Linked DNA regions of Drosophila melanogaster. The protein of the gene in region 1 interacts with the protein of each later gene in a pairwise test. Each region holds a gene or a part of one and is shown in the gene's direction. Other genes may lie near its edges.

Region 1 (6,889 bases):
CAGCGTTTACAAAAACATCATCGGCGGAGGGCAGTGGCGTGGAGATGAGTTTCACGTGGTTTGGCTTGTCTTGGCTTGGGGTACTCAAAGATCCCCCTGAAGAAACCCCTGCCAAGCAGTTAAAGTCGGACTCAACGCACATTGAGGCCGATGCTGCTGCTGCTGCTACTGCCGCAGATGCCGCATGTTGCACATGTGTTGAGTGCATGCAACATGCAGCATCAACCGTACGGCGCACAGCATCGGGGTACATGGTCATGCGCAAATCGCCGGGCGGCGTTTATTGAATTAAGACTGTCGACGACTGTTTGCAGTTGGCAGTTGTCGCACCCAGTGGAAGCGTTAAAAGTCACAAGGACACTGCAAACGGGAATCAGAATGGAAATGGAAATGGAAATGGGAATGGTAATGGGAGTGGAAGTGAGAAAGGGATCTTCGGATATACACACATGGATCGTTTGCTGCTGGGTTCGGTTCTCAAAATGCAACATTGTGGCGCCGCCGAGAGGCGAGGGCCATAAAACGGGTAACTTGGTCGCGCTGCACTTGGTATCGGTTATGCGTGATTTTTACAGAATCCATTCACTCGACGGGGCGGAGCAATATCTGCGGCATCTGGCATTCGCATATTACTCGGAAAGTCACGTTAAAGTTGCGTCCACTTAACTGCAACTGCAATATGGGCATTCCTTAAGATTTCACCTCCCTTAATGTCCTTTTGTCTGTGTTTTAACTATCACTCCAGTTATTAAATCGCAACTTACAGTAAACAAGAAAATCTTTTAATATATTTTCTTATTGATTTAAATGCCATATGGTAATGGCTAATCACTAAAATTCTCGCTATTGGAAATATTTTTATTATGTATAAATAGACGCAAAATCATTTCCTATATGGGTTAGAACTATAGATGGCTGGAAAGTAGCCACAGCTTTTATTTGCCTCCCAGATGTGGACTAATCACATACAACGTTCCCAATTTTCCTGCTTTTATAAAAGTCGATTTTTGTAATAAACTCTATTGGGATCAAGTTGGGGTACATGTATCCCTACTTTATTATCTTTTCGCCTACATAACCTGCATAATAGAGCGTGTTTAAGGTAAATAATATCTCGCTTAACGCAACAATAGACAGGGTCTGGGTCACAGGGCTTTGGATCCCACTTGGCTGGCTGGCGGTCCGATTCACAAATTAAGCCCCAACTTCAGCCATACAACTACTTTACCTCTGTCTGAATAGGCAATCATCAATCGAGCAGAAACAATGAATCGTTGGTTGCCGCACACCCTAGGATCCTACGGGTCCTACTCTTTGTCCCTTCCGATTCCTTCCTGTTTGTTTTGTGTACCCGCCAGCAGACGAATTACAGGATATGTTGTATGTTGTATCGCACAAAATTAGGTAACAAATGAAAAAAGGATTTACGCTTTATTTTTTCTGAATCAAGTTCAACATTCTAGTTTACGTTCACATCGGAGCTAAGAAGCTAAACAGCTGTCACAATTCCAAAGTTAATATAACCTATTAAAAATGAAATTAATTTTAATGATAGTTATATCATACTTCGCGTTTCTAAAAGGCGTAACCACAGCCAGTAAGTATGCCCCATCTTTTGTAACAGGGTATCGAGTATATACTTACCTTTTTTTCTACTGCCAAACGCAGGTCAACAAAGTTTTTATTAAGCTGCGTCGAAGGGGAAAACTAATGGTGGGTGGGTGTTTATAGAGAGGATCCAGTGGCAAGGACAAATAAATAAAATACACACAAAAAAAAAACCAGATAGTGGGCAAAGCGGGAGGGGAGAGGTCCTGGCAGGGCAGGGAGATACGGATACAAAGGAAAACGGAAACCAAAGCGATGTTTAGCAGGGGTGTAGTTAATGGGGGTGGTGAAGTGGGGGATAATTAACATTTATGGGAGGTTGCCAGAGCGGGACAACAAGCTCGGCGAGGGAACTAACTGTAACTGTTGCTGATTGATCAAGTGTGTGGGTGAGTGTGCGTGTGTGTGTGTCTGGCTGGGGCACAAACAAAAACCATATGTTTCTCGTTCGACTCCCGCACGCACTCACTCACAAACCGAATTACTCACTCACCCCCACCAGCCCCACACTCTAACCCCCCGCCACCTCTCGCTCACTCTTGCTTTCGTTGTGAGTAGGAACTCAAAGTCAGCGGCTGCGCACTCTCTCCGTCTCTCCCGCTCTCCGATTGCCCGGCAATGTATGTGTGCGATATTCTGTTACACAAAAAGGCAAAAACAAAAGGCACCGTTAGAAGGTGTGCGCGTGTGAGTGAGTTCACCACGAAACGAAAATCCTCACCGCCAGCCTACGTATACGTGTTCGTTGCTGGCTGTGCGTGTGTGTGTTAGTGTGCGACTGCGAGAGAGCCTGGCGCAGTGCAGCTGTGTGCGGGCGTATCTGTGTGTGCGTACTTGGCGTTACGACGTCAACGACGGCATATCCGTCAGTACGTTTGTACGCGTCCGCAGCGCCGCTTCTTCAGTTTTTCGGTTTTCGGGATTTCGAGATTTTGAGATTTCGATTCGATTCGATTTCGGCAGATCAGTTTGCGATCCGTTTGCGAGTTCGATATTTTCATTCCGAGCCAACGATCCAACGATCCGATTCCGCTAGCGATTCACAACAGATAGAGATCCTATATCGAACGCCGCGAGAAATTATGCTGGCCCGCTGCTCTCGCACTACGCGCAATAATTTATTTTTACTCCATATAAACAAATTCAACGTCTATTTCCAAAAATAAATGGCAACAATAATAAAAATAACAACAGCCGTCGGACAATTATAAGTTTTTATTTTTAACTTTTATTTGCGCCAACCGCGGCCGCGACATCCCCGCCCCCGCCTGCCCGGACTTTGTTTATATTTACAAAAAGCTAAAGCACACGACAAACACAACAGCAAACATATCACTGACTGCATTTCGCCCCGATGTTTATCGAACGAGCGGCGTAAACAAAGCCAGAATTCAAACAATAATTCAATTTGCATCTCAATTGCAAAGATTTTCGTGTGTGTGCTCGGAAACATTTGTGCAAACACCTCGCCAGCGACCTGACATCCCCAGAAAAGTTCAAAACTCGTCGGTTTCTATTGAGTAGTGTATTTTTGAGAACATTTTTTCGAGAAAACGGAAGCTCAGCTAAAAAGCGATTCATGTAAGTTTATCTACTGCAATGAGGAATGTTTTTGGTTTGAAAACTAGTTTTTAAAACCAAAGTACCTTTGCGAAATGGGTAGAAAGATTTTCATTCTTGTATTAAGAATAATTTTTCCTGTTTGTGATAACCATTTGACTTATATTTATGAGCGTCATAAAATCCAATTGAATGCCTCATTACATTATAAGTGATTTTCGGTTAGTCATACTTTTGAGACACATTGTTAAATTAATTATAAATTATGAATTATAAAACCTAATTTTGGTTATCATATCCACCTTTGCTCATTGAGCTATTATTCCGCCCAAAGGCTTAGTAATTATTTACAGATCATCGATGGGCTGTAAACCCCTCCTTTCATATGCCGATAGGGCAATTTGATTATATATAATTTACAATTACAAAAACACTGGCAGCCGGCATGTCGGGAACCAAATAAGCAAGTTACCCATGCACACTGACGTCATCGCTGAGCCAAACGTTGGGATTCCGAAGAAAAAAAAAAGAGATATCGGCCGGGTTTTCGAATTGTGCCTCGCTGTCTTGATTCCAGTTCAAACAGTTCCCTTTCAATTGATATCATTCGATGTTTCAATTTCTTTTCTTGCGATTTAATGCTGAGAGTAGCTGCCATACACTCGGACGGGCGAACACGCACACACAAATACTATATACGTTCCACTGATAAGCGATTTTCGTATCAATATTGAGGGCCCGCGAGAACCGTACTCCTCCGGCGAAGTTCAAATCCATTTCCCTGCTATCAAGTTCTTTTGCATGTAGTTTTTATGGCCGACCGACCGACCAACCGACTAACTGACTGATTGACTGGCTGGCTGGCTGGCTGGCTGATTGGCGAATTTGCTGATAATTGTCTGCACTTTGTTTCAGCCAGCAGCAAATGCACAGAGAATTATATTTTCTCTTATCTCGCCTCAGGCAGCTGGACATGCGTGCAATGCACTTTGACACCTACGCAGGATCATAAGGGGGGTCGCGTGGGAAGGGAGTAGGGGAATTTCGTTTCGATCCAGGGAGCAGTGGGTTCAAATAACAAACAAAGCCATTCGAAGGCGATAATCACCGCAGATTTGCCGTGGACTTAGCCACGGCGATCGCCGATAAACGATTACGGTCATTCGGCATTGCAGAGCCTAGATAACGGGACCCCACCTCCGATCACGTTCACGTTCGGACCATCATCACGACCATCATTAACCTCCGAGATCTTTAACACTATTTGGTGTAGTCACGTTTGGGTCGCGTTTGTATTTTAAGTGTTCCATCAATAGAGAAATTATAATATTATTTATTTATTTTCTTTTTTGTATTTTAAGTGTTCCATCAATAGAGAAATTATAATATTATTTATTTATTTTCTTTATTATTTCATTATTATTTATCTCATTCTATAACAATTTAGTTATTTCCAATACCTAAAGCTTCATAAGTTAAGCGAAAAAATAAATGTTTTAACTGTTTTTTTTTTTTGGATGCCTTTCAATTAGTTTTGAAATTCAAAAATGACACACGATTCTGAAAAACTGCAAGTAAAATAAAGAATACAATCCATGAAGGAAAACCCACAAACGACATCTTATCAGGTCAAAATAATTTGTTGGCAAATTTTCAACGAAAAATAGTTGAGTTACGTTTGTTGTTGGCGTTTTCGGTGCTTGATAAAAAATTCGAAATCAAAATTTGTTTTATTTGCTCGTGTTTTTTTTTTTTTGCGGCCACTATCTGCCATCGAGAGCGAGAGTCTTTCTTATCACACGTGCGCATGTGAAGGTGCCCACGCTCACTGACAAGCCAAATGAAGCACAATCTGGTCGATGTGTTGGTGTAGTTATTAAAAAAATAAATGTTCCTTTGCCATTTGCCGTGTTTGCGGCTCTCGAGTGTCTGTGATAATTATGGTTATTGCCGCCGCGCTCCCCCACATATATTGTATATAAAAATAAAAATAATAATAATTATTATTATTATAACGATTTCTTTCTGTTTGCGCCTGTGTTTTGGTTTAGCTCCCTCCCCCACACTCCGCCCGCTTTTGCGGCTGTGTAGGTGCTGGCGATAAGATAGAAGTGCTCTAGGTGTACTTCTAGGTGACTCGGGGCCCGAGAACTCAAATTTGTTCGACTACCTTAACATGAGACGCGTGTTTCGGGGCGAAAAACAAAAACCTTGGATTCTTTTGCTTTTGCTGGCATTTCTGCAATCGAAATTGTTGATAAACGCGGTGCAGGAAGAGAGCCAGATATCGCGGAGCCAATGCGATTGCTTGCAAAAATATTGGAAATCGAAGTTTGCCGATATTTCACTTGCTTCAAACAGGCACATTTTATCTCAAAAGCATTTATCATTTGCCTTTAGCATTTACCACGAGCGTCGTATTCACAAAGTGTGTGTAAGTTGTGGATAATATTTTATAATATATAAATAATATACTAAAAATAGATGTAAATGTTAATAAGATATGAGGTAGTTTGAATTGAAATGTAGATTTTATGACAAGTTCATTTTAGTTTCTCAACTCGTCAGTTTTTAAAATCTATTCTTCAAACGCAATCCTATCCTCATCTCTTCGTCCCCAATTGGTATTGATGGCTATCCCCAGCATCTTTGCTCGTAATTTACAGTTCTAAACTCAACTTCCGACCGCCCCCGAAGACTACAAAAAAAAGTTCCGCCTCATTGGCAGTACGCAATGAGTCGTTTTCATCGCGTCTTAAAACGCGCGCGCGTGTCTTTAATTAAGTCAAGATTTATAACCGGGGTCCCAGGAATGCGTTAACTGCGGCACATTAACAACAATAACAAAAGTCGGGGACATTGACGGATCTGATCTGGTTGATGAAAAGTGAAAGTGAGCTGCGACCAAGGAAGTCAAGACAGGCCGAAAAGAGCAGAGCTAGTGAATTAAGAAAAATTAACAAATATATATCTAGAACACTCACTGGTCAGGCCAACGTGCGTATAAACCCACGGAATGGTTATTATTTGAAATTGAGGTGATAAATTCGGAGTTTTTTAAACTTGAAATTTGGCCGGTCAGCAGCCATAAAAACGGAATTTATGAAAGGTCTCTCGTTCGCGATCTCTGTCGCTCTAATTGAGGCTGAAAGCTCCAGACGGTGAGAGATTGCATTCAGATCGGCTCATCTCATTGCGATCGCAACTGGTTTTTGAATCGGTACGGGGTTCATTCCTCCAAAATACGGAAAAGTTTAACATTTGCATAAATTTGGCCGCAACAAATGCTAATTGAGCGCAATCAAGGCGAGCAACAAGTTTTCGCCTTTTAATGCCTGCTCATCGGAGAAAAAGCCGCAGAGCGTGATTCACTAAATCAAATCGATAATGTCCCCGCCTTTGTTGGTCCAAACAATTAGGGAAAGCGCAAAAGTTGCTAAGCAGAAGGCTTCCCACCCAGTCCGGTCCAACAGAGAAATTGAGAGAAACTGCAAATCAGAGGAGCTGGGCAAAACACCCACGTTCTTGAGATTTGTTCTTGGCCATTTGCCTAATGATGCCGTCGCAGTCTTTGGGCCAATTAAATGGTGAAGCTGGCAAACGTGTGGCGGCAGTTTGCTTCGTTTTAATTGCCCGGCCACAAGACAAATGTCTTGACACACATCCACCAATGGAACAGACTCGGCACATCCTTCCTACCTTCCTGCCTTCCTTTCTTCCT
Region 2 (6,980 bases), on another chromosome or scaffold:
TGGTGGTGTTGGTGCGACTACTTTAATCTTCGCATTACAAACTCTGCCCCTTGATTGCAAACTTTTTCGGTCCTTGACGGCTAATCCCAAGTGCCGAGAGTGTACCTTCCCTCTCCCGATTTTATAGAGCGGATGTAAGAAGGATTCGAGATAATGGAGACGAATGTTGCACAAACAGAGCCCGAAACACATGTATGAAACGTGTAGAACGCCCTGGAATTTACGAGTATGATGAGGCGGCAGGACGCGGCCCAGCTAAATGGGATCGCTTGACGATGACTGCCGCTTGTGCAATGTAAAGTTTCGTCCACCACTAGCGACACAAAAGACACTAGAATAACTAGTGTAGAATATTCTAGAGTCTTTGACCGACACCCCTAGCAGTCACAGGAGAACAGGAACCCGAAAACGCTTTTTATTGGAAACGCTTGGGAACAAAAAATGATTATGCACTCAGACTAAAGAAGCCGTACATTCCTTATGAAACGTTGTATGTGAGTCCTTAGCTGAGAAGATAGTGAAACTAGTTTTTGGATTGACCAAAAAAAAAAAAAAGGAAACCTATATACATTTTGAGCTTGGATTGTTATACTCACTTCTCGTACATGAATGGTTAGGAGTATTTTTTAGCATTTAATATTATGTTTAGTTATTAGACCAACTTTTGCAAAATGTATTGTAAAGTGCAGAAAAGTTGAAATTGAAAAACATCAGGGCGGGGTGCAGCCTGTAAAAACAATTAAAGCGACATGAGAACATATTTACTGAAAGCGCTGTCCCTGCATCCAGTCTACAATATATCATTTTTGGCTGACGCAGCAGCTTCCCAGGCTTCTCTGTCGGATTGTTGATACGAGTATGTGTCGTCTGGATCTGGTGTCTGCGTCAAAAGCAAAAGCCTCGTGTGGCGGAGGTGGAAATCGATCCACCTAACAGGTAATGTTTGACAAGCCTTTCAGGAGCTCCCGAGCGCTCTAGCCTCATAGATTACATGAGCAATTTAATTGTGAAGCCATTTAATTCTGACGCGCACTTTTATGAAGATGCTTGGCAACATGCGGCAGATATCGAGGGATATTATATTTCATGTGTACCAATATGTACGTCCAAATACTGCAGCTACTTGTTACATACCTCACATTCTTTTCGGGTGGGGGATAAACCATACAATATACACGGATTTTGTCCACGAGCGACTGGAAATTCACCTTAAAGTAGTGGCTGCACTCTTCAGTGTTGGAAATTCGTGTGTGGTAAACGTTAACCATTGGACTGGCTAAATCTACATTGTCTGCCCCGGGTCCACAGCCAGATAAACGGACATCGGGAGAGGCGAAAGCGAGAAGTTTATAAAAATAACTGTAGCTCGTATCTGCCAGATACAGATACAGATATACACAGTGCACCTACCCCTTCCCCATCTCCGGCGGTCCTTCTGCCAGAAGTTTTCGCAATTTTCAGATGCATTAGACGCAGGGGGAGATAGTGGAGCGGAGCTGGGTGCCGGAGGTATGTATAAGCTGTGCTAATGTCTGTCAGCGGGTAACCGCACTCAGTGCCCCAACAGATACAAATTCGGTAGGTCCTGTGTGGAAGGGGTGCTGGCTGGCCACGATCAGAATATCTAGCTAGGAGTTTTGTGTTAGAGAGACTGCCATGAAGACGGGCATTGCTCTTGGTGTATCAGGCAGCGGCTGCTTTAAAACGCAACAGCGAAAATTATATGCACTGCAATTCCGCTGAAATGTTTTGGATCCTCGAGCACGGGAAGCACTTTTCCTTCGAGGCGCAGAGGACTGGGCGCTACATCTCCCGCTTCACTTTTATTTAAACACGCCAGGCAACTTTGTGCGGCAATTACCTACGTTATGTTGGTTTATAAATCTAAATTGAAAAACTTTTTATTTGGCACTTCGTGAAAGGAGAGATGCCTGTTTATGATTTCGCTTTGTCTTTCACCTCCAAATTCGAATTTAAAACTTTTCCTGGAAACCAACTCCCTGCTAGTTGTGAATAGATTTTTATGGGAAACTCCCAGTTCAGGTGCTTAACCCCTGACCATTTTAGGACACATATATTGGTCAAGAACAAAGTCGGCTCGGTCGCGGAATTATTTTTTGAAAATGCTTCGTATAAAGGCAAGAAGGGAAGCTAACTTTGGCAAGCCGATGCTTATATACCCTTGCAGTTACCTAATATTTTAAACCACTCACACCTTAGAGCATTCAAATAATAATTTTTTCCCCCAATTTATACCGATATTCCTGAAAATGTTGATAATTCTCGGTCCCACTTGGACTAGCTGAGTAACGGGTATCTGATAGTCGGGGAATTCGTTATAGCATTCTCTCTTTTTTTAAAACAGAGACTGGAAATTACTAGAACAATTTATTTCGTACGTTTATGGTTATGGTGTGTTATTTATTTCATACTAGTACATAATTATAAGCTTTAAGATGCCTGATTCTTAATTTAAAACACTATAAATCAACACTACTCTCACATATGAATTTCTCATGTGTGGTAACCCCTAAATCAAGTCCATTATTGCTTGTCACTTACAAACGGGAAACTTAATGGTCATACCTCTGGTTGTCTTAAGCCCCAACGCCCTGCGGCTTTGCAGCCAACGACCGCATATCTCTGACTGGCCATTGCGCCCAACTATTATCCACCCAATCCACCCTCCGCGACTCTCAAGGCTCAATAAATAACTTATCCTGCGCATATTAGATTGTTGTACTGAGGACTTTGTGACCACCCTCCAGTTACGTAAATCGAGTCAATTGACAGGTGTTTTTTAAATTGAATTTTTTACCATACGTAAAGAGCGCTTGTTCGTTGCAGTTTCCATTTGATTTTGATTCGGTTTGTCGAAAATAAACGATTTAAAATCTGGCTCTGGGAATAGTTTAGCTCCAGAGTGGTTTGCTGCCCAGTACTTACTGTTCAAACTTTACGCAGAATGAAGAGAAGAAGGTGTTTTCCATATGGCGACACTTTAAGGTTCCCACCCCGGTGGGCCGATAATTAGATTACTTATGTCCCGAGATGGGTAACTCTATGGACCTTATCAAGAGAAGGACACGCGTAGGGTATTAACGTAAATGGAAGGGCAGTTCATTGCTCTTTACGAGGCGGCGCCCTCTGCTTCATTGAGTCTTACTTCAGTACAAATTCGCCCGAATGTCCAAAACTCCAAAGCCCTTGACGTCCAAGCGTAGGACCTCGCCGGCAAGTCCTGGCTCCACGGTCCTGATTGAAAGCCCAACAACCTCGAGTGGCGTACGCAATCGCCGTTCCAAGATCAAGGGCGTCGACAGTAAGCCTAACCCACAGAGGACCATCAGCCACGTCAAGGACTCAAGGGCTGTTCCGCAAAATGTGAAGCCGGGCAAAGTAGCAGACATGAAGGATTGCAAAGAGCCGGATGAGGACAATGTGGATCAGGTGAGAGGTGATGAAAAATATGTTTTGACTATAGTGATGAGATATGACGGGGTTACTTTGCTATGTACGCGTATTTGTTCAGGGAATTCAAGTTCCTCGACCAATTCTCCCCATTCTCACTGGGACGTGTCTCCGCATAACTTGGGCATAACAATTTTAATACTTATTATTATTATGACGAAATTCATAATGCAAGGGGCAGAAACTCTTGTTCTTCTAAAGTATATATGTTTTGGAATCGCTTTAATTAATAAATAATTTGGGTGGGATTTGTGTACGATGTTTAAAAGGTTATATTGAACAAAATGTGAAAAAAGATTACATTATGTGGCTGATGTCTGCAATGCTACCTTTTTTAGGTGACTAATTCCTAATACAACTACTTTTTATAATAATTATTATTAAAGTAAAAAGACCTTCTCATAAGGCCATTTGTTATAATTTATCTATCACCTTTTCCGTCTTTTACCTTTTCAGGTATGTATGTAAAACTTGAGTTTCCTCTTAATTCTAAGCATCACACTTTTCACGTGTATACAACAACAAAGCAAAATGGAAACATTATTCAGGCTCTCAGGCTTAACTGTCGTAATTAAAATTCACACAAAAACTAATTAACACCACACAGATGAAAATCAAGAGAAGTTGCTAAATTCGAGTTCCCCGACTATCAGATACCCGTTACTCAACTAGTGGAAATGCGAACACGAAATTTCATCATATTTCTGAAGTATCGATAGATATTGGAGAATAAAAGAAAAAATTTAAAAATTGTTTAAAAGTGTGGGCGTGACCGTTTTGGGCGTTTTGTAGGTGTGAGAAGGGGCGTGGCCAAAGTGTTTTTGGTATACCGGTAGAACTTGGCAAGACTGTGGGCGTTGCAATATGGATCAACAAACTTAAATCTGTATGCCTAATCTAAACCATCCTGGTAAGATGAACATGGCCAGTTTGACTCAGCTATTGATCAGGAATATATATATACTATATATAGTCGAAAACGCTTCCTTCTGCTTGTTACATACTTTTCAACGAAGCTAGTATACCCTTTTACTTTACGAGTAACGGGTATAATCTTAAGGATCCAAGGATGCATAGCCAAAATTAAATAGTTAGAAAAATGTCGACAGTACTTCTACGATTACCAAGTCCATAAGTCTTTACACCAAAATAATGTAGCTAAAGTACTGGTGTATATTTGCAACGTCACCGACTATCTCTCTTCGAGTGCGGACGTCTGTGTCTTTCCAATTGTGTGAGCTTTGCTTATCGCGTAATTACCATCGCCGTTACATTGATATTTATCATCTTATCTTCTTGATCTTCTTATCAACGCGTACGTGCAAATCAAAAACATTCAATATCCATAAATTTATTAACCATGGCCCCCGGGCCACTCAATTTGGGGGATAATCGCTTTGCCAGTCTCAGCGTTAGCCCCAAAGCTAAGAAAAAAAGACCCTATCAAAAATTACAAGTTGATTTCCCAGACCTCCCTGAAACGCAGTGCAAAAATCCGAGATATTTAGTGGTCTCATCAAAAAACTCTCCGAAAACCATATCCGACTACAACTGCTTTGCTGTCCATAGAGCCCTTAAGTATATCAGCAAAGACATTACATCCATCTCTAATCTTCGGGATGGTAACCTTCTCTTGCTGGTTAACTCCAGGGAAATTAGTGACAAATTTATCAAAGTGACTTCTTTACCTGGCTTATGCGATATCGAGTGCAAGCTCCACAACACTCTTAACTTTGTCAAAGGCACCATTTACGCTCCCTGTCTTATTAACATTCCAGAAAACGAAATTGTTGAGGAACTAAAATCACAAAATGTACACAGCGTATTTAAATTTACCAAAATGATCGACGGCACCCCCAAACCTTTTGGAAAAGTTCTCGTAACGTTCGACCGTTTCACTCTTCCCAGTAAACTAACGGTTTCCTGGCACACAGTTAAGGTGTCAGAATATATACCCAACCCGATGAGATGTAAGTCTTGTCAATTATTAGGACACACATCAAAGCACTGCAAAAACCCACCTGCCTGTGTATCATGCAATCTCGCTCCCCACCTTCCCGTGCCATGCACTCGCATTTTCTGTGCAAACTGCACCGGCCAACATCCAGCCTCCTCACCCGAATGCCCACAATACCAAACACAAAAACAACTGCTCCACATCAAAACAAGCAAAAAATGCAGTTTCCATGAAGCTCGCACTATACTAAAACAACAACAAAACACAACAAATAACCCCACGCTTACCTACTCGACCGTCGCAAACCAAAGCACATCATCCGTGATGCTTGTCAAAAAATCCCGAAACCCTAACACGATTACAAACACCGACTTGCCCACCAGCTCGACAAAAGTACCAGCTCCGCTCTCACCAACGTATCCCACTTCTCGGACGAACTCTTTGAATCTCGAAGAGAATCTTACTTCCTCCCCAAGCACCTCTGACAAAACTGATTTCTCTTACCTAAAAAAAACATGCATCGAACGATCTCGCTCCCTTAGGGCGGAAGCAAACGCTCTATTAGGACAAACCTACAACGACGACAACAATACGTTAATGACCTCAAGATCCAACTCAAACGAATCAATTGCTTCACAAACCTCAAATCTACAAACAAAAATCAACACAACAGACTCAGACACTATGGACGATCCCGATTCCTAGTCCTGATCCTCTCACCCTTACCTTCATATACACACACCACAAATTAATAACAGTCCAACAAAAAACAATAAATAAAAAAAAAAAAATTTTTAATCATGACAATTACTATATTACAATGGAACATCCACGGCATTTTTAATAATTACAACGAACTGACACTACTCATAAAAGACCATGCACCCGATATTGTATTTTTGCAGGAAACCAACCTTCCATGTAATTCTACAAATTTTATTTGCCCCAAAGAATATAGTGGTTACTTCCACAATTTTTCTTATAACACCTCAGCCAAACAAGGCATTGGTGTTCTTATTAAAAGGAATGTCCCACATACATACCGTAACATTAACTCCAGCATACTCTGCTCCGCACTGCAGCTTAATTTTGAACAGGTCATTAATATTGTTAATGCGTACATCCCACCAAGTCAAATTTTTTCATCTTCTGACATATCAGAAATTCTTCAAAATCTTAACGGATCCACAATACTCCTGGGTGATCTTAACTCATGGAGTCCTTTATGGGGTTCACCTCGCACAAATACAAGGGGTAAAAAAATTGAAACCGTAATTCTTGAAAACAGCCTAATTGTTCTTAACGACGGTTCCCCGACTCACCTTTCAACTCACAATACGTTCACCCACATTGATATCTCACTGATATCTCCACAGATAGCCCATATGTGCAGCTGGTCTATATCAGATAATCTCCATGGAAGTGACCACTTTCCCATAACCATCCACATAAACACACCTACCCGTCCCGATAACACTTTACCCCTGCCTAAATACAAGACAGACCAAGCGAACTGGAAACGCTTTAACGAAAGTTGCGAAAAATCAGCAGC

The links.
Region 2: the proteins of Mef2 (region 1) and SPoCk interact in a two-hybrid assay, tested with the Drosophila melanogaster proteins (one large-scale study listed by BioGRID).

The regions. Positions count from the first base shown.
Region 1 is NT_033778.4:9,925,200-9,932,088, reverse strand, and holds the start of Mef2 (myocyte enhancer factor 2), read left to right. Parts: upstream 1-2,473; 5' UTR 2,474-3,189; intron 3,190-5,219; 5' UTR 5,220-5,602; intron 5,603-6,889. UniProt on the Drosophila melanogaster protein: Transcription factor that could be a key player in early mesoderm differentiation and may be required for subsequent cell fate specifications within the somatic and visceral/heart mesodermal layers.
Region 2 is NT_037436.4:22,756,791-22,763,770, forward strand, and holds the start of SPoCk (secretory pathway calcium atpase), read left to right. Parts: upstream 1-3,186; coding exon 3,187-3,450; intron 3,451-3,998; coding exon 3,999-4,019; intron 4,020-6,980.